Lytechinus pictus: one gene and its partner. The protein of the gene in region 2 purifies or fractionates together with the protein of the main gene of each other region. This does not show direct contact. Links are inferred from orthologs where the notes say so. Each region holds a gene or a part of one and is shown on either strand. Other genes may lie near its edges.

The links. Proteins that work in one complex are often made in the same cells at the same time.
Region 1: the proteins of DNA polymerase beta-like (region 2) and DNA ligase 3-like purify together in Homo sapiens (affinity purification with mass spectrometry; 3 studies listed by BioGRID and IntAct, counting the BioPlex papers as one, with this or other methods). This does not show direct contact. The link is inferred for Lytechinus pictus from reciprocal best matches to the Homo sapiens genes POLB and LIG3.

Annotation. Positions count from the first base shown.
Region 1 is NC_087258.1:1,784,391-1,795,625, reverse strand, and holds the start of DNA ligase 3-like, read right to left. Parts: upstream 5,447-11,235; 5' UTR 5,277-5,446; exon of another isoform or gene 4,973-5,276; intron 3,892-4,972; exon of another isoform or gene 2,498-3,891; 5' UTR 2,475-2,497; coding exon 1,904-2,474; intron 1,460-1,903; coding exon 1,343-1,459; intron 657-1,342; coding exon 414-656; intron 289-413; coding exon 182-288; intron 13-181; coding exon 1-12. UniProt on the Homo sapiens protein: Isoform 3 functions as a heterodimer with DNA-repair protein XRCC1 in the nucleus and can correct defective DNA strand-break repair and sister chromatid exchange following treatment with ionizing radiation and alkylating agents.
Region 2 is NC_087262.1:20,690,334-20,701,367, forward strand, and holds the start of DNA polymerase beta-like, read left to right. Parts: upstream 1-5,955; 5' UTR 5,956-6,149; coding exon 6,150-6,213; intron 6,214-11,034.

The sequences.
Region 1 (11,235 bases), on a different chromosome or scaffold from region 2:
TGCTCCAAATATCTGAAGAAGCAAAGGCAAAAAGTAATAGTTACACTTTCATGTGGATACTTTTATCAAGTCTCAAAAGTAAATTGTCTTATCTTAATATTATAAATGAAAAGGTAATATCACTGGGTCCAACTAAGCATGTCAACCCATAAAACTTTGGCGAAAATAGATGACATCTTACCTGACTAAAAAGCTTGACCAGTTGTTTGCTGTTGATGTTGTAGACTCTCTTCACTACACCAGGAAGGAGCAGCTTCAGTACAAGGTAAGTATCACCTTGAAAGGATTCTGTAATGAGAATATTAATAAAGCATAATGTAGACAAGCTGCAATAATAACTGTTAATCAGAGATGGAAGAACAGTAAGCCCAGTTATCATATCACATCTTTCCACACATCTCTCTTGTACTTACGTCCATCAGAGCCACTCTTTAGAAACCCAGCAACGACTCTGGTCTTCGCATGGTGGCCAGCCTGGTCTGCAATATTGGCACAGAGCTTGCGGTACTCTCGGAATGAATTGTCTGGATGTTGGGGGTCACTGCCGTCCCCTTGGTAAGAGATTTTGGAGGGGGTTGGTGATGGGGTGGCAGAGGAGGAGGATGCTGCAGCAGAACTCGATGAGGTGTGGTGAGAGGATGCGGGCTGGCTAGTACCTGTAATCACAAAAGAATTGATGAAAGAGTTCAGATTATTATCATAATCATAATCATGATTATCTTTATCATCACCATCATCATCATCATCATCATCACCATCACCATCATCATCATCACCATCAACATAATCATCATCACTACAACTTCACCCTCAATCGTCCCATCTTGTGCAGTTGGGCCTTTCGCCTATCAAGTCCTTCAAATTTGTCAAACAAGAAACAGATCAGCATATAACTTACAATATCTTCAAGTGAAATCTTGATTTAGACTGACTGTTCAGCTTTGTTGCAAATGTAGTTGCAATAATAGTTTACCAACCACTGATAGCACATTTATCGATGGGATAAATTCTTGCAGGAGGGGCTTGTTCAAATTAGCTTCAATGCAAAGACTATTATTCATATTTTGCAATTCAATCCAATTCAAAAACACTTCCTTGAATGTTGTGATAACATTCAAGGATTACTTCCTGTTTGGTAACATTAAATATGCCGGTACCTAGATCTTCTGATTTTTCTTTCAGCCCATATTCTTCATTTCCCTCTTAAAAGCCATTTTTTTACATTATGTGACTGAAATATTTTTATATCTAGCCAACATTCCTCCCTTATACAAATTGCTTTCACAAGACCTGCTTCTTCAGAATCTAGTAAGAATCATTTCACATTTCCTTACAGACTTACTTGATTTTGGATGTTTGGATGGGGATAAAACTTGACCGCCTGTTGTAAGGACACCTTGAACTGTGCCTTTCTTCTTGGTTGGCGTTTTCTTGGGCGTTTTGACTCTGGACAATAGCTCTGTGTATGAAAAGATCCAGAAAACAAAAAAAGTACATTTAAATGATTGTTTATTAAAATCATGAAACTAGGGTAAAGGAAGAAGAAAACAAGAAAACAGTAAAATGACAATGAGTGAGAAAAGGAAGAACAAAGACAAAGGGAGGGGAAGACTGCCTACATGAGGAAATATGGCCAGATTCCAAATTCACAAATATTCTCAGGTTTCAACTGCACAAATACATTGAACATTCTCATTAAGATCAATAATGAAAGGTGCTGGAAATGGCGGGATGATGTTTCAACGGCCAGAAGATAATATAAGCAATAGGCAAAAAAGGGGGAATAAACTAAAACGCATTTAAGTAGCTGACAAAAATTCAATGTCTGTAACTAACTACATGTATGAACAACTTATATTTTTCAGATTTCAGAAACATGTCAAAGTAAACGTGACATTCTCACCTTCTATGTTCTTTCGGATTAATTTCTTCTCCTCGTCCTCCATCTTCTCAAAACCATCCAAGTCGCTTGGATCCTCAATCTTCTTCGTTGTCGCCCTCGCCCGAACAAACGTCTCAAACACACAGTTGATGTGGAAATAGTTCTTCATCATGCCCCCATCGTCACTGAAAGGATTTGCTGTGAGTTTGGCAATCCTGGGTGACTTCTTCTCGATCCCCTGCTTGCATCGCTTGCATTTTGATGTCCCAAGGCGGGCATAGTCAACCATGAAGGCTTTCTCATCATCCATTCCTGAAGCTGTCTTTGACAAAAGAGTACTAACCCTTGAAGAGGAACCAATCAGACCTAGGATTCGTTCTGCTTCTCTTATGAATTTGAATGAAAGTGCACTGCTTCGATAGGACTTTGGAAATTCAGGTTGTCTACAGGAGCAAGTGTCATATGTTAGTTGAAGATCAACAGTGAATGACACCGAGGTGTGATAAACTAGATGTTGCTGACCATGCCTTGCAGAAGCTCCTTTTAATGCAGTCCAACCACGATGGAATGCGGTGTAAACCTTAGATCTCATAGATCCACATCACCTGAATATCACTGTGATCAAAGAGAAATAAAAAACATAAGATAGTTACCAAACCTTCTTCTTATTCCTCCAACTCCCTATCAAAATGATAAATCATCACCATTACACACATGCCTATTCTCCTATAAAAGCCCATTTTATTTGGTAAACTCTCTTGAAAGTGTTGGTTCCTCCAGTTTACTACATGTATTTATGAATATGTAGGACTATGTCCTAATACTGTTATCGTGTGAATGCCATGAAATAAAAACACATGTTACTAAGTTAGATGGTGAATTTTTGTAATTTTGTAATTTTTTTATTTTGGTGGGGGGGATAGGTTAGTCTATAAGCAGATTAGGCAAAAATAATGGTCTTCGCTAAAGTAGGCGTAAGTTCACAAATATAGATCTCACAGCCTGCAATGTATATTTATTCATAAGTTAAAAACATATGTACATGTAGATGTCATAGCCTATATCTGTAGATGATGTATCTCAGGCAGCATTATTCCAGATGCCGAAATAAAATAAAGATAAAGAACTTTATATGTAGGCCCTAGGACTGGTCTCTATCTACTAATGGTCACTGCGCCCACTTTCAATCTTTTGTTGTTGTTGTTCGTTGTGAGCCTGTTTCATGCCCTAGTAGCCTCCTCAGCTCAGTAGACACTTAGTGTTGAGAACTCAAAGGTAGAAAATGTGCTAGGTAATTATTTTGTTGGTAAGCTTTTAAAAACTAAGTTAAGAAATACAAAAGAAATTAACTGGGAGCTACAGCTCACAAGTTCTTATGAACTTTTCAGTAGTTTCCGTTTTTCTCTCATACATGTAATTTTCATTCTTTATACATATTTGCATATTGTTTTTTATATTGGTGAGAAAATAAATAAATTGAACTTGAACAAAAGAAATTAAAAGGAAATTATGTTGTCATTTTTTTTTATCTTATGTTAAATATTAAATGTCAAAATTAATCTTTTTCACCAAAAATTAGTATTACTAGCAAAATGAGAAATTTAAAGTGAGCTAAAATTAAAAAAGGCAAATGTGATTTTCATATGCTTTTATTTGCATAGAATTAAAAAAAAATTAATTAAAAAATATACAATTTTTTACAAAATTATTTTTAAATTTATCATTGTCTTGACTCTTGTACTTTTTTGTAGTCAACATCCGACATTAGATCTACACCCTTGCAAATTTTCATGGCGATCGTGTAATCACTAAAAAAGACACTAATCAGTCATTCATTCAGTGTTCAAAGTGAAATTGGCATGCTATCGATCAAACTCAATTTTAACAACATTACTTATCTAATACTAAGTTAGTCAAAAGTTACACTGCACTCTGTCGATGTCAGCTGTGAGTGTGACTTTTCTTTGCAGCCGGCCCGGCACTTTTTTTGTCGTCTTCTTCTTCTTCTTCTTCAAGCTACACTGCCTCCTTCAATCCTGGAGATTCTTGCAGTATTGTAGTACCGGGGACCGGCAGGTGCAATACACCGGGTGAACACCCTACTCTTTGACGAATAGTGTATATTGGTTTTAACGTGCATAGGTTGTGACTCTCCTATACACGGGACCAACATTTGCGTCCTTTCCGATGGACGGAGTGTTTTCCAACTGCATTCACACCCGCACTGAACACAGCGGCGAGGCACGTTAACACACAACGCTAGCATCAGTTTTTTTGTTAGACGTCTTCCGGCATGCTGCGGGACTCGAACCCACGCACGTTGAGATCTACGATCTTATCCGGAACAGGCGCTCTAACCGACTGAGCTACACCGCCTCCCTGTCTTAACTCTTAATAGGGTGTCTGAAGCCACACTGAAAAGTGTCAGCATAAGACAGGCTGATTTAGGGGAAAATATGGAACATTTTTTTCGGGAAGTTCAGGCTACTAGAAAAATGTGATCTGAATTGATTATTAACTTGTGTTTGGCATGTATGGAAAGAGAAAATTCAGGGGCTTCTTTTGACAGTAAGGACAAGTTTATATGATCATTTTGAATAAGGATTTAGAGATAAATTGCAAACCCTTATTTTTGTGTGTGTTGAGATTGCCATTTCCCCATGCGTTTTCTATGGGAAAATGAAATTTCTGTTTTGCACAATTTTTTCACTTTGTCGCAATTTTTCATTGTGATCTGGTTTCCAAATCTTTATAAAAATCATACCATCAGAAAGAGCATAAAAATCCTATTGGACTCTTTATGGACAAGTTTTTGGCATTAATAATAAATTTATAACAGCTCTCGGAAGCTAAAAATTTGGATTTGTGTGTGTCCATTTCTTAACTACACAGTATGGCAGAGAAATGCTGAAAATTGACCTAATTTCATTCTTCTTTTTTGCAGCCAATAATCAGATTTTTTTCAAAAATGTTACATTTCTGTCAGTCTGAAGGTCATTTCTCTTCAAATTCACAAAGAAAATGTGATATTTTCTTGAAATAAGAAAAATAATATTTTTCTCCAGACACCCTAGGCCTACTCTTAATTACAATACAATTACAAATACAAACACCATATCACGGTCAGAGTCACATCTTTGCATTACACTTAAACATATTGAAAATATATAGTAAAAAAAATCATTCATGCCGTTTTTGAAAACATTAAACATTCAGCTCTCAACTCAAGCTCAAGGAAACGTGAGATTGGCCATTCACTTGCGTGCAAAATAAATCGCACATGCCGGTAATTAAACCGGCATCCACTTTTTATTGCATAGGCGGCAAGCACCGAGTACCAGATCAGAAAGCACACTCTTCACCTCTTGCATTTTCTGAGGAGGAAAATCCTTACATTAATGATGGAAAACACTGAACACTCCAGAAATCGGCACGGCTGAAGTCCATGTAAAACTGATCTTTACTCCAGGAAAGCAGTTAGATTTATAGTTCACTCCGAGAGTTCAGTCAATGATGCATGGTGCGATGATACACCACTACTTGTCCAATCATGCCCAAAACAATAACGTAATCGCTAAATGCGTTTTCGCGTTGGTGTTTGGACGTGTACCCTTTGCGTGTACCAGCCAGCTGCGTGTGTTGCATTTAGTCTGCAAACACAGACTCCTATTTGAATAATCATGTCTAGAGTGAAGCTGAGGTGAAGCCTATAAACTTCAAACTCTTTTTCTGTCTCTTTGTAGAGCCATCCATAGTATTCAGTGAATATAGTCTCACTAATTCAGACTATGCATATTGCATATATGCACTATGCGAATTGTGAAATCAAAGGGTTTGTGTCTGCAGACTATGTTGTATGAATTGCCAATATACGTCGAGACCTTACCATGCGTTGCATGGAAGTTGTATTAATCAATTGCAATCAATTACTAGTCAAATTTTGGTTAGAAAATCAGTCACAATTAATAAATCTGGCAATTATTGCGAATCCACACTTGATTGCTGATCTCCTTCTTTTAACAAGTAGTTAAAATAATATCATTATCAATTGTAGATTAATTTAGCAGCAAAAATTTGCAACTGATTGCATGCAAGTTTCTTTAGCACCGCGGGCTTAAGCAACACATGAGCCGAGTCAAGGCCGGGTGGATAGGCTAGGCATAAGGTATCACAGGCCTAATTCAATCCCCATAGACTCGTGTGTTAAAGTGGTACCTAAAAAGAATTCCTTAAAAATAAGGAGGAAATTCGAGGGTTGAATGTTTACTATCAGTGGATAGGATAAATGTCTGACATTCCATATCTGACCAGAAAAGGGTACCTCGACCGGCTCATTTTAAAAATAAATCAGCATTTATGAAGATCTACGGGATCAAATTCATCACTTGAGATCGAGAGTCAAATGGCCCTAATTCTTCCGCCCGTAAAAATTTAGTTCCATAGTGGTTATATATCTTTCCAATTTGGAAAAAAAGAAGTTCAGTACTACCCACTGGGCAATTTGTTACCGATTACCAATTTTACCGGTAATATCACCCGGAAATTTGAGTAACACCAAATATTACCGTTAATTATTACCATGTTATTACCGAAATTATAATTCCTGTTGATACCTGTTACTGTAATTATCACCCTGATGAAACCTACATTTACCTAGTTACAACAGGGTGATGAGGGGTAATAAGGGTAATGTTGAATGAGGTGGTCTTGCACGATTTCCTAGGAACTTTTCTTTCCTATCTTTCCTTTACTTTTTTTAACTGATATAGATTGAACAAAGAAATTATTCTTTTTGAAAAAAAAAGGGAAAGCAAATTTACAAGGCAACAATAGTCAAAACTGACTAGTTTGCCTATTTAAAATAACAACAACAACAACAAACTTTGATTGGTTATAACATTGCAAACTTTAGTAATAAGAGCAATCTTACAGCAATCCCAGCGAAATTTTCAAAGTCCAAAAAATTACTGTTATCACCCTGATGAAACCAACATTTTACCCAGTTACAAACAGGTTGATAAGGGGTAATGGGTAATGTTGAAACGCTTCCATTCCCAGACAGCAAAGTATCTGGATCACATACGGTTCTTATCTGGGATATCTGGGTCCCATATGGGCCCACATGGAACCCAGATGAAAACATATACTTGAACCCACATGGTGCCCAACAGTGGCGTAACTACGGGGGGGCATGGGGGGGCACGTGCCCCCCCCCCCCCCCAATCGGCTGACACACAAAAAAAAAAAACGGGGAAAAGGAGAAAAAGAGGGAGAAAGGAAGAGGAACGTAGTGGGAAAGAAGAAATTATTATTCATTATAATTGTATATTGTATTACAATCATGTTGTTATTTTACATAGGAAACATTTTTATCATAACTTTATGAAACATAATTTGCTCAGGGTCCATGTCTTCACTGTTCCTGGTGCTCGCATTGTCTGTTTAAAGAGATATATAAACCTGTTGTACGAAAACCTCCCGTTTTCAAGTCAATATACACCAAATATATTATTGTTTTATATAGTGACATATGGTTCTTTTTCATGACTACTTAAAGTGATTGCCCCATGTTAAGGTCTTAATATAAAACATTTCCTGTCCGTGATTACGTTCGCTTCAGTGGATTGGTGAGATATGTCTGCTCTCCATGAATTCCTAAAATCAGTCCTTGAAATATCCCTTTTTCTGCATGAGTCTAAATATCCAAAATTTTCAGCTCGCGCTTCGCGCTCGCATCAGTTGGTTAGTGAAATACGTATGGTCTTCGTGAATTCCTACAAACAAGCCTTAGACTGCCCCGCTTCAGGTCTGAATTATCTAAATTTTCAGCTCGCGCTTCGCGCTCGCAATATTTGATTAGTGAGATGCGTATGATAATCATGATTACATTGACTACAAAAAGTGCTTCATGTGTTCAGATGTGATTCTAACAAAATCAGCAAGCACCTGGCACTCGCATTACATGACTGTAGTGAAATATGTATACTCTTAATGGGTTCCTTTAAAAAAATCCTGTTTTGGGTCAATATATACACAAATTTCAGCTCGTGCTTCGCGCTCGCATCATTTGGTTATTGAAGTACGTATGGTTTCGCTAATTCCTACAAACAAGCCTTAAATTGCCCCTCTTCATGTTTGAAATTCCTAATTTTTTAGCTCGCGCTTCGCACTCGCAATATTTGATTAGTGAGATGCCTATGTTATTCATTATTACAATGACTACAAGTGTTTCATATGTGTTTAAATGTAATTCTAACAAAATCAGCAAGCGCTTGGCACTCGCATTAGATGACTATGGTGAGATATGTATAATATTAAGAGATTCCTAAAATATAGTCCTTAAGATCTCCCTGTTTGTGATCAATATATACAAAAATTTTCGGCTCGCGCTTCGCGCTCGCATTGTTTAGCGAGACAGGTACGTATCATGATCACAAAAATTCGATTGTTAAGTCCCTTTTTAGGTCTGAATATCAAAAATTTTCAGCTCGCGCTTCGCGCTCGCATTATTTGATTGCTGAGATGCGTATGTTATTCATGATTACAATGACTACAAGTGCTTCCTCAAAATGTCTCTATTAGGTCAGAGTACCTGACAACTAAGTGACTTAATTTTTTGCTGGTGCCCCCCCAATGCCGTGACCCACGGTACGCCACTGGTGCCCAGATAGGACTCAGATGGAAACGAGACCTCCAACCCATGCGGAACCCATTAATATTGGGTAAATGGAGTAATATCAGATGGTAAAATCAGGAAAATGCTGGGAATATTAGTTACTCATGAATATTCATTACTACAATAAATGGCCAAAATTTTAGCTAATATAGCTGTAATAATTAATATGTTTATGCAATTATTCCACCCAGAAAATTTTCAGAAAAATGTGTAGTTTATATATCATATTAGTCATAATCATGACATTAATTTTAGAAAAATGTTTTAGGGTTGAATAATTGTTAACCATAATTTGTCAAGTGTTGTAAACTCGCTCAATATATAGAAGTAAATGACAGGGTTTGGTGGATAGGTGTAGGATAGGATTAGGATTAGGATGTAGGATTTTAGGATAGGATAAGATGATATGGCTTAGAGTATGGAGTTGTAAAAATGTGCTTCAATGACCCTAATGACACTAATTGTTTTTTTAATGAGCCGACATTAATTGGGTAATATTGGGTAAACAGAGTAATATGAGGTGGTGATATCATTAAAATAACTGGAAATATCGGTTACATCATACTGGGTAATATTGGGTAAATTGAGTAATATCGGGTCCGGGTAATAACGGGGAAAGATTGGTCTACTATTTCCCCGTTACTACCCACTGGTGTTACCGTGGTAATAACTACGTTATTACCTGTTACAACCCGGGTAATATCGGGTAAAATGCCCAGTGGGTAGGTGCCCTCCCTAGAATCAGTGTTAGATTCATAGGCGGATCCAGCTTTTGGCGAAAGGGGGGGGGGGCGCACTGCATGCCGAGCGCGCGGCGCACTTCACCGGCGCCCGAAAGGGGTAAAGTCTGACCCTGTCAAAATAATGCTCTTTTCAAAATGTATAGGATTTCCAGTCATGTCATTTTGCATGACCATACGCAGATAATATTTCCAGGGGGGGGGGCAAGACTCGAAAATTTGGTGCACGTACATCTCACATTTGCACATTTTTCATAGTTTTCATGAAATGTTAAGGGGGAAAAAAAAATCGTTTTTCACAACAGCAGATCGCGAATGTGCCCTCCCCCCCTTCTCCCTTGCTGCGTACGACCATTCCCTGAATTCCACTTAAACATATCTCATTATAACAGAAATATACATCAATTTAAAAATATAATCTTTCTAAAACATAATTATATAGAGAGAGATTGAAAAACTTAATTAAAGAAAGAAACAAGCAAAAAGTAACACAAATTATCATGCATGTTATGTGCGATTTCAAAATCTCGTGTATTAACCCTTTTATTGCGATGAGGCCAATACATTTGTATATTAATAGAAATACAAGCTTTTTTACTATATGTATATATATATATATATATATATATATATACACGGGGGCGTCGATCCTTTTTTTAAGATTTGAGGGGCAAAATCATGAATCAACTTTCCAAAGGCGCTCGATATCACACAAAACAAACAAATTCACACAAACACACACACACATATGCATATATATATATATTTATATGACTCATGAGATAGAAACACATATCTCACCAACAAATTAATGCGAGCGCGAAGCGCGAGCTGAAATTTTTTACTGACCTGAAAACAGGAAAAAGGTGCCTGTTTAGGACTGTTTGTAGTAACTCATGAGGAGGATATACATATCTCACTACACAGATAATGCGAGTGCCGAGGGCGAGCTGAAATTTCTTTATATTCTGACCAGAAAGCTTGATATTCTATGCATTTTTGGTACCAATGATTAAGATGGGTATCTAAAAAAAACAATAGATGCGAGTGCGAAGCGAAAAAAAAATGACAGTTTAATGGATGTTTGTATAATAAAGAACAAGATTATATCCAGGAAAAGATTATTGCAAATCGAAGCGGGAGTTCTTTTGACGTTTAGTCCTGAAAAAGGGACATTCTATTCACCTATTTAATCATGAAAAGTATGGGGTTTTGCTACTGACAGAAATGACGCGAGCTGAAAATTTTTATATTCCAATCTGAGAAGCGGATAATTTAAAGGAGAATGAAAGCCTTGAAACCAGCTGAATCCATATCAAAGAGAAAAATCAAAGAAACATATTGTTGAAAGTTTGAGGAAGATTCATGAATAATAAGAAAGTTATGAGCATTTGGATATTGAGATCACTTATGCCATGTAGATCCTCCCATTGGCAATGCGACCAAGATCTGTGATGTCACACACGTACAACTCCCTCATTACTTTAGTACTTATTTCACTTATATTCTCACTTTTATAGAGTCTATCACAAGGTGAGGTGTTCTCTTTATGAGAGGACAAGTACAGATGTTTCACAACATTATATCATTGATGAATCGTTTGTCATATGATTAGAATGAGCAAAAAGAGATGTTTTGGGGTATATTTTCAGCACTGGCGTAAATCCGTGTTGATGGGTGGGGGGGGGGGTGACTGAAATATTTTGGCATTTTTTTTGCAATCATGTTTTTAGATATGCAAGGAATTGCCATTGATATGTCCACAGTGGCGTACCGTGGGTCACGGCATGGGGGGGGGGGGGCACCAGCAAAAATTTTGAATCACTGCTGAGTGAGTGCGCTAGTGAGCGCGCTCAGTTGCCAGTTATACTGACCTAATAGAGACATTTTAAGGACAATGTCATTAAACTGATATGTATCTCACTGATCAAATAATG
Region 2 (11,034 bases):
AATGAATGAATATACATAAATAAATAAATAAATAAATAAAAATAATGTATGAATGAATACATACATACATATAGGCCTACATACACACATAGATACTTACATAGATAGATAGATAGATATAGATAAAACCATTACCATCACCATATTCGTCGAGCAATGCACCTATAACCGAGAAACAATAATCAACGTCCATGCATGATAAACAAACAAATCACTTTGAAAAAAAAAATGCACATTAGCCTAATCGAATTATTCAAAAGAATGAGGGAAACCAAAGAGGTTGGATTTGAAATTTAAAGGGGTACTCCAGGCTGAAAATTTGATCAGAGTCGGACAAGGAAAATATGGCATTTTAAAGATTTACATTATCCTGGTGTGAAACAGTTCTAGGCATGTCTTCATGATTAATGAGCATACTGATGATGTCGTATCCCCACTTGTTCTTTTGTATTTTATTATATGAAATTAGGTTTATTCATTATTTTCTTTCAAGAACCAAAAATATTGAAATAACAACTGATTAATTGCATTAGATATTCACTGCTGCAACTTATTTCATTACAAGGGAGACATAATAATTCACACATGTATGAAAAAATGAAACAATTATGATTTCATTGTATAACGTAAGAAAAGGGAAAGTGGTAATGTGACATCAGCCCATCTAATGAATACTCATAACGAGTAACGACTTGCCGACGTCTATAGCTGTTTTTACAATATATTGCTAAAGAAAAACTTAAAAATTCAAAAACTTCGCTATTTGTTATCAGATTTTGATGAAATGTTTAGCCTTTTGCTACGTGAATTTTATGTATTTATAGATATAAATATTTTCAGCCCGGATCCTCCCTTCGCATCCTTTTAAGGTAATTTACTTTTATTTTTGGAATTGTTATGCTTTATAAATTATATCTTATCTCTATTGCCATTATCATCATTACCATCAGTAGCGTGAGCATCACCAATGATTGAATGGTATACACCAAATAAGTTACAATAAATACAAAGCTGTTTTACGGGCTCGGTGTAAAAATGGTAGAGGTAAAAATGGTAGAGGTAAAAATGGCAATGGTAAAAATGGCAGAGGTAGAAATGGCAGAGGTAAAAATGGCAGAGGTAGAAATGGCAGAGGTAAAAATGGCAAAGGTAAAAATGGCAAAGGTATAAATGGCAACGGTAAAAATGGTAGAGGTAATAATGGCAGAGGTAAAAATGGCTGAGGTAAAAATGACAGAGGTATTTGAAATGGCCAGTCTTAACCCCCATGCCAAAAAATAAAATAAAAAACCTCCATGTACAGTAAATTAAATAAGAAAGGTTCTTAGAAGAAAATAAGAATTATAATGTTGGACTAATGGAAAGGGTAACATTTTAAAATCATACTTTATATCTTCTGCACCAAATTGATAGCACTTGGGTTGGTATTTCTTTTATTTCCTGGACTTACATGCACGGCCTTCTCTAGTCAAATCGCTTTTATAATATTCAAATTTGAAGCACACTTTTGATCCCATGCAAGTATAATGCTTAAGGGGAAATTCACCCTGACATAAAGTTTATTGTAAAAATAACAGAAAATAATTAAAATGATATTGGTATGGTGAGGGTTTTAGGGAATCCATCAAAGATTTAAAAAGCTATTAGAATTTTATATTTTAATGGTGACGTCATTTGCGAGTAATTTTTCCCATATATGGTGTAATAAAGATGAAATGTCATTTTCTAAAAAAGAATAAAATGGTTTTTATATACCAAGTTATGTATTTCAACATATCATTTCACATCCGCTCCTGAAAGATATTTTTAGTGATCATGAACCACTGATTAAAATAGTGAAAAGTATACATTTTGGTGCACAGAATACGGGGCAGATACTCGTATATGACGTCACAGATCACTTAATTTTCTGCTAATTTTACAGTAAACTGTGATATCCCTGATTAGAAAGTAATGAAAAGTCTGAATGCAAAGACTATCACAAAGAACTGCCACATATTTTAGCCACGATTGTGTAACAGTGACGTTGTAATTGCAAACACACAAGTAAAGTTATGAAACTTAATATATTTCAAGCCTAGAACCAAGTTATTCAGTCGCGTGAACTATGAAGTGGCATGTCTGAGGAATGACTGATTATGATTTGGACTGATTCGAAGCTTAGATGTTAAATAAACCATTTGTCAGGGTGAACTTCCCCTTCAAAACACGTCGATAGAATGGTAGAAACGCCTATTTAAATCTCTGATTCGCTATACACATTTCCAAATTCATGCGGTAGCCATTACCATAGAAACTAGTTAAGGAACTTGACACTCTCTTGGACTAGCTGCAAAGAGGTATTGCTCTGAAAAACTTAACACTAATTGCTATTATTATATCATTTACATTAAACTATATACGTATCATATCAATTCTTTTCGGATCCATTATGATGTTGAAATATGAATAATCACCTTTATTACAGAACGTTTTGTTATTTTTCTGTTATCCAAGTTATGCAAGTGGTTCGAAGAAATCCCGAACTTGTCTATTTCAGTGTGTTAATGGTAGCGCACATAGGTGTTTACATTAAAATTCGTTTGGTATGTACCCGGGGTATGTATGTGTTGAAGTGCTGTTCTACTGTACGAACTGGCCAAGATAAATCCTTTAATCACTCACTAATTGAAATCATTTTGGTATGAAAATGTTTTGGTTCAATCCAATCATATCAACGATAAAGTCGGGGATAAAGTATTAACCTATATATGAAATGATGAAAAAAATCCAAATAATATGTTCATAATACTAATTTCGATAAGAGTCCATTCAAGGTCAATAATTATGACTGATATTAACTGGAAAGGCTCTGTCTTTTCCTTGTTGATGTAGCATGCTGTCATGATCTTAATCCCTGTCATTTTTGCCTCTGCCATCTTTTCCTCTGCCAGTTTTAATTATGTCATTTTACCTCTACCGTTATTACCTCCCCGGGGCAGTCATATTTATTGCTGTACACATGTGTGACCAAATTATTTCCAGACACCCCCTACACGAGTTTTCTTTGTGTGCAAGATAACCCCCTAAACAAGTTTTTGCGGGCTTCAACCCTAAACAAGTTGCCGCCAGAATATGACCCCTAAAAAAGTTTCACCATACGTTAACCCGTTTTTCAGGGCCGTTGCTTACAATCGGGAAGAACCCGAACACTTTTCAGAAACGAGGAGGAAAAGCTCGGCTAAAAAACATACCCTAAACACGTTTGGTCAGTCTTAAGAAAAGCTTTGGAAAAAATACCCTAAATACATTTGACCCCGTGATTGACCAGTCTTTCAAAACCACCCTTTTTGTTTAAAATCGGTGTTTTTTATACCCTTAACGAGTGCTCGCGCGGCCCGCGTCTAAAACTGATAAAAAACCTTTAAACGCGTTTTTTTTTTTGGTCACGCATGACTGGCCAACCCCCCCCCCCCCCGGATTACCTTTGCCATTCTCACTTGTCATTTTTGCCTCTTCCATTTTTACCTCTACCATTTTTGCCTCTGCCATTTTTACCTCTGCCATTTTTACCTCTACCATTTTTGCCTCTGCCATTTTTACCTCTGCCATTTTAACCTCTGCCATTTTTACCTCTGCCATTTTTACCTCTGCCATTATTACCTCTGCCATTTTTACCTGGCACCGTTTTCCGTGATTATTTCAATAGACTAGTCTATACAGGAAGAATCATTTTAATTTAGTGATGAAGATTTAAAAAAGGGTAAGGGGGCCTACATGTAAGAGATGCCCAGAGGTAAGAGAGGAAATAAAACAAGGGTCTAGAGCGAAATAAATTTAATTGCAGAGATACAAGAGACAGGTCCGCACTATAGAGGAAATGAAAGTGCAGAAAAGAATCAGAGAGAAAGAAAAAAGAAGGAGTCGGAATAAGAGAGAGGGGGAGGCCAACTTTAGTAATATGAGGGCTGGGAGAGATAAATCAGTAAAACAGAAAACAAATGGTTTGCAGGTCATTATTTTATTTTAAAAAATATTTTTGTATGAATCATTATTATATAGGACAGTGATATACATGTATTTCCAAATCAATGAAATCAGTAGCAATGCATGCATGGCAACACTCGGGGCGGCGGAACCGGGGGCACTTGCCCCCCTCCCCCCAAAAAAATCCCCTCAGGAAGATATGACCTTTTTTCAAAATGGAAAATGCCCTTTTTTTAATGAAATGTGCCTTTTTTTTAAATGAAATACCATTTTCGAAGTAAAACTTAAGGTTAGAAAATGACAAAATTTTTGGCTCGCGTTGCGCGCTCGCATCAATTACTGTTTAATAACTCATCATGTTTTTTATTACATAAATGCTAAGAATATCCAGTTTTCAGGTTGGAATAGCAAAAATTATCAGCTCGCGCTCGCTTTATTCGATTGGTGAATGCATGAGTCCCTACATGCAGTCATTAACAGGTTTCATTTTCTGGTCAGTTTATTAAAAATCTTTTTCATGTTTACAAAACTGCCGCGAAATACTGAGTGTCCAAAAGTTTGAGCTCGCGATTCGCGCTCGCAACATCTCCCAAGGATGCCGTTTTAACAGTGATTATCATTAGCGTCATAACTTAACAAAAGCGAGTTTTCAACTTCAGATTTGATTTTTTTCCAAACCACTCGCTCGCTGCACTCTCTCACGGAAATATAATAAAGCCTAAATATATATCTTATCAATCAGAAATTAATTCAAAAAAGCTTTGCTAAACTTTATTACTACTAATTACTCTTCTATGATAATATGATTATATCAGAAAGGCCATTGGCCTATGCTGGCTCCCATATTCTCATTTATTCTTTTGTTAAATGTATTTCTATTTTTGTATCTTTATTTGTATATAGTGCATTCTTTGATTTGTATGTTGTATGTTTTTTAATGAGAATTTGGAATAAATAAATGAAATGAAATGCTGATATCCGTAATTTGCATCAAAATGCCCATTTTAACATGCCCTTTTTTGGTTTTGCATCCCCCAAACGAAAATTCGTTCTGCCACCACTGGTAACATTTTTTATTTTAAATAATTCATGATAGTTATCTAATGAAAACCGAGAAACAATAATATGTATCCATGTACTTAATGATGATCCCTCTATTTTTAGATTATATTTTACAAAAGTATTATATTTCGTTAAAATTATGTTGTTAAATAAATGGGAATAGAGAACAATGGTAGACGTAGCTATAATCATGATTCCCCAGAGCTAACATCCCTTTTAGAAAATTTGGTGAGGTCGAAAGACTCGAATATATATCTATATAGAGAGAGAGAGAGAGAGAGAGAGAGAGAGAGAGGGGGGGGGGGAATTAAGCATGTGCAACAGCTTTGGCAACTCTTTTATTCAAATATTTTGTGAAAGAAATGGATGAAGAGAACAATGGTAGGCGAATGTTTAAGCTACGCCTCATTTCATTGAAATATATATATATATATACATATATATATATATATATATATATATATATATATATATATATATATATATATATATATATATATATATATATATATATATATATATATATATATAAGACATCAGAAATGCGAAAAAAATTCACGAGTAATGCAGTTTTTGAAGTGCCAACAGTTAAGTTCTTTAAGTTCTTTAAGTTCTTTAAGTTCTTTTAAGTTCTTTTAGTTCTCTCTCTCTCTCTCTCTCTCTATATATATATATATATATATATTTCAATGAAACTTGCTAATTCCATAGCTTATAATAATACCTTTTCAATCACTTTTTTTTCATGAATATGAGAACACAATGAAAAAAAGGAGAAATGTATATATAGGCCTAATATTCAAAATCACTGATGTGAGGCCACTTTTCAAAACCATAAATTATCCCGTAAATCATGTCCAATAAATTACAGAGGGTAAAAAAAATATATATATAAAATCTGCGTCCTTTTCTTTCCAACGTCCCGAAATTGCGAAAGAAACGTTCGGCGTTCCATATCATGTTGCAACACGTTTGTACATTTTCCTTTGTTTACCGTTGTTCACTTTAATATTTGTGACAGGATCGCGATCGAGGACTCTTCTTTGACTTGAACTTGTATTTCCGGATTTCCGTACGAACACTTTAACTCCTAAGAAGCCGGGTCAGAACGAAAATTCAAGATGAGCAAGAGAAAAGCACCAGATAGCAACAATCCTAACCAGGAATTTGTCGACTTTCTTGTCGGTAAGCTTAATTCGAGGTGTCCATCCAAGTCTTTTAATAATATTAATAGCTCCAGCTGCAGCGCGACCGGGGCAACGGCCCGGTATCGGCACCGTACGGCCATGACGGCGGAGGCTCGGAGCTGCAGTCGTGGCCTGTCTGCAGGCTAGAATCAAAACTGAATCTGTCCCAGCGTTGCATTGAATTGTTTCGCCCACTGTATGTTAAAGTGGCATGCCGTTAAAGTTGGGGATACAAATACGAAAATATTGTATTTACATAATAAAGATGATTAGGCCCTGGGGGGGGGGGGGGCACTCGGTATCCCTGATAGCAGAAACTGGTAAAAATGACGTCATAATTACGTCAGTTTAACGACGAGAGTCACGTCATTTTGACGTCGTATCATGACGTCTTATTGACGGGATCTTGCACCCGCGAATAACGTCATTATGACGTCGTATATTGACGTCATTATGACGTCTCCAAGAGTGACTACGACGTCTTAATGACGTCTTAGCAACGTTTTTACAACGTTTTCCTGACCAGTATCAAGGGTCAGAATGACGTCGTGTATTGACGTGATTATGACGTCTTCGAGAGTCAACAACGACGTCTTAATGACATCCGTGTAACGTGTTCCTGACCGGTTTTAGACGTCATATTGATGTAATTATGACGTCTTTAAAAGTCATCTACGACGTCTTAATGACAACTTTGCGACGTATTCCTGACCAGTTTTAGACGTCATATTGATGTAATTATGACGTGTTTATAAGTCAACTACGACGTCTGAATGACGACTTTGCAACATATTGCTGACTAGTAATAGACGTCATATTGACGTCGCATATTGAAATGAATATGACGTCTTTTGGAGTCAACTATGATATCTTAACGTATTCTGACGTGATAATGACCTAAACATTAAATTCTACATGCAATGTACATACACACATCACTTCAAAGACCTTGTCATTGAGGATTATCTATATTTGGTGAATACTGAGGTGGTCTGACAATGTCCAGCATTCCCAGTAACAATATAATGATCCTCCATGCCAGGGCCTTGCATAACTTGTCTCGGTCTCAAGAACATGACCCCCCCCCCCCCGAAAAAGAATATATACAAAAATGGAAAACGAAATCAAATACATGTACGCATTTCAATTACGAAATCGTGGCAAATATTCTATTAATAAATAAAAGTTGCATAACATATTACCAGCAAAAAAAAAGGAATACAAAATGTTGAAAACTCTAAATAGATTGAAAAAAAAAACACTTTTCTATGAAAATGCAGTATTAGGGTCAAAGGAATGAAATTACAATGTTTGTTATACCAATACATACAATTGTACATGTATAAATACACATTAATACATAACAGAGGCATAATGATCTCCAAGAATAAAGCTTTTTCGTTGAAATTGTAATTAAATATACCTTCAACTTTAGACAACTATGTAATGTAGGTAAAAATATACTGTATGTAAAAAAAAATACCCGAGTTGGAATAGTTTCAGGATTTATGGAAGCTCGCATTTGGGTGAAAGAATCATACATGTACATTAATTCTTATGAAATGTTTGGGTTGTATTACACTATCACTTAGGGCCAGGGGTAAAAGACAGTAGTTGCAGCAAACAATTATTTCTTCGGAAAGTCTCTTAAATTAAGGTTAATTGTCAAAATATTGTACATAATCTAGATCTGGGCCCTGTCTTACAAAGAGTTACGATTGATCCGATCAATCATAACTCTATGGAAATCCATCAGTGTCATAATTTTTTCTACGAAAAATTTGCACAATGTCCTTTGTATGCAAAGAGAAGCGCAGCGAATTTTTGAGAAAACAATGAATGCATGAACATACATCATAGCTAGAAAATATTTTGAACAAACATGCTTAATAGATGTTAACGTTGCTGACCGTCCATAGTTGCGATTGATCGGATCAATCATAACTCTTTGTAAGACGGGGCCCTGGTAAATTAATGTAAACTTGTATCTTTGTAAAATCATGAATTTTGATCTTAAAATCAATAATTCTGATGATCACTAACACAGAAAAGCATATGTGGGACAGGACAGTGTATTATGATTGATTTGAAAAATATCCGACATTTGATAGAATTACATGCTTATTTTGCTCATTTCTCAGCAATTACACATTTTCTTCCCGAGCTTTTTGGCACACATCTTTTATATATACATACACTTTGCTGGTAATTCTGTTGGATTCTGTTCGAACTCATTTTAAGATAGTTACTACTAGAGGTGCGCTATTAACTTAAGGCAACTATGCAATGTAGGACAAAATATACTGTATGTAAAAAAAAAAAATACCTGAGTTGCTAAGTTTTCAGGATTTATGGAAGCTTGCATTTGGGTGAAAGAATCATGCATCAATAAGTCTGATGAAAATAGTTTGTGGAACTGTTGTATTACACTATCACTTAGAAGGAAAAGACAGTAGTTGCAGCAAACAATTATTTCTTGAGAAAATCTATAAAATCAAAGTTCATTGTCAATATATTGTACATAATCTACATCTGGTACATTAATGTAAACTTGTATCTTTGTAAAATCATGAATTTTTTAACTTAAAATCGATAATTCTGATGATCGCTGTAAACACAGAAAAGCATATGTGGGACAGTGTATTATAATCGATTCGAAAAATATCTGACATTTGATAGAATTACATGCTTATTTTGCTCATTTCTCAGCAATTACACATTTTCTTCCCTACATGTAGCTACGTAGGCTTTTTATGTGAGCTGAGAGATTTCATACCAGATTTCCTTTGCTTGATAAAGTTCTTTAATATGATAGTCTGTGTATCAGCATAGCATGTGTTCAGTGTTTTGAACCCACTGGAAATTGTGCATCATATCTTTATGTATGGAAGTCATTTTGCGTCTGCGGTCTCCATGGTTTTGTCAGGATCTATGTGTTGACTAGACCAGTCCCATATTGATATTTTCATGCTGTGTCACTTTGGAAGGCCGTCTCTAATTGGTTGACTGGTGAGTTGGCAGATGCACAGCCCATCCCACTTTTCAATTATATCATTACGTAATCTCTAACATGTCTAAGATATCCACAAGATCAAGAGGCCGTTTGCACTCGGCTAACGCATGTACACAATCCTCTGCTTCATCATTAACTGGATCTAAACAAAGCCCAGCATACCTAGATCATATTGATACAGTCGTTCAAAGAGCGGTGGCCGTGGTAATGGAACGCGAGAGACAAAAACTCAATGATGACATGGATAAGCGCGAAAATAAATTGCGTGAAATTCTTGATGAAAAGCTCACTAGTCTACACGTTCTTGAAATATCTATCGATACTAAATTGAAGCAACTCCGTGATTTTGAAAAATCGGTTTCTGATAACATGACTAACACCATAATGCTTTGTCAAATAGGCTTGACCACATCGAGCAGTACTCCTGTCGCAATAATATCCGTATCCGTATGAGATTGTTCGAAATGTAGCAAAGCAGATTGGTATCGATCTTACTCCATGTGACATTGATCGATCCCATCACCTTTGCCGACCAACTAGCAGTCATGATGTTCAACCCAAAGGATCATACCCCGGCGTGGCCCTGTAATGCCAACTTAGCAGCTCCACCAATCAATGTGAAATTCACTTCATACAGGCTGAAACAAACGATGATGAAAAATAGAGGAAAATGAAAATGCTCAGGAACAGATGACTGGGTGCAGGCAGGCAAGGCAGTTCAGGTGGGATGAAAATTTATTGGCAGGACACCTTCCGTTTCAAATTACAGCATCTGCAAAAATAACAGAAGAGGAGAAACATAAAAACTTTTTCTACATAAACTATTTATTAATCTTCATTAAAAATTAGATGGTTTCAATATTAATTTCCAATTTATTTTAAATGATTAAAAAACGATGTGGGGTTTGTTACATATTTTATACTTCAAATATTAACATGTTAAGTCAAGTCGGGGGGGGGGGCATGATGCCCTCAAGACCTTTAACCATCTCTGTATAAGGAAGGGAATTTTAGAATCAATTTATTTGACACATAAAACATATTATTTTTTTATAATTACAATTTTAATTCATGCCTTTTTTATGTGTTTTAAATGGTTATGGGGTAACCAGGACTGTCAGGACCGAGAATTCGAACTTCGAGGCTGAAATACAGCCATTCCCTATGCCTGATTTGGCTTAAATTCAGGTCAAGGATCAATTAAATATATATTTTGAGAAAAAAAATCTGACAAATTTAGAGGTGGAATTAGTTTTCTGGCATCGCGAGATCGACCAATGCAAAATTTTATTAGCGCCAATTTACCATCTAAACTTGTCATTGAAATTAGAACGTCCAAACCGATCTAGTACCAGTACTAGCACAATGAATCAATCAGCTATGCATGTGCACCAATTCTGTATTTCTTGCATACGTACGTCACTCGAGTTATGGTTCATGTCATTGCGTTATATAGCGTAGGAATTGTAAGAAAGTGATCCTTCAAAATTTTTACCTTCCAACAATTAACATTTTTTAAGCCTTTGTATGCATTTAGAGTACAAAAGCTTACAAATTGGACAAATTAAATGTTTGCCCCAAAATTATTGTGGGAAGGGTGGATTTTCTAGGGAAATCCATCCTAGTGTACAAAGTTCTACAGGCAACAGAGACTTGTCTAGGCTCCGTGAATGAAAATACAATGAAAAAATATCACAGAGTCCTCGAAGTACAGTCAGGACCATTAACAGATTATAAGGTGCCCCGAGTTTGTGCACACCCAAATCTGCGTGATTCTGATAATAGAGGTTCCCAATGATCCCCCCC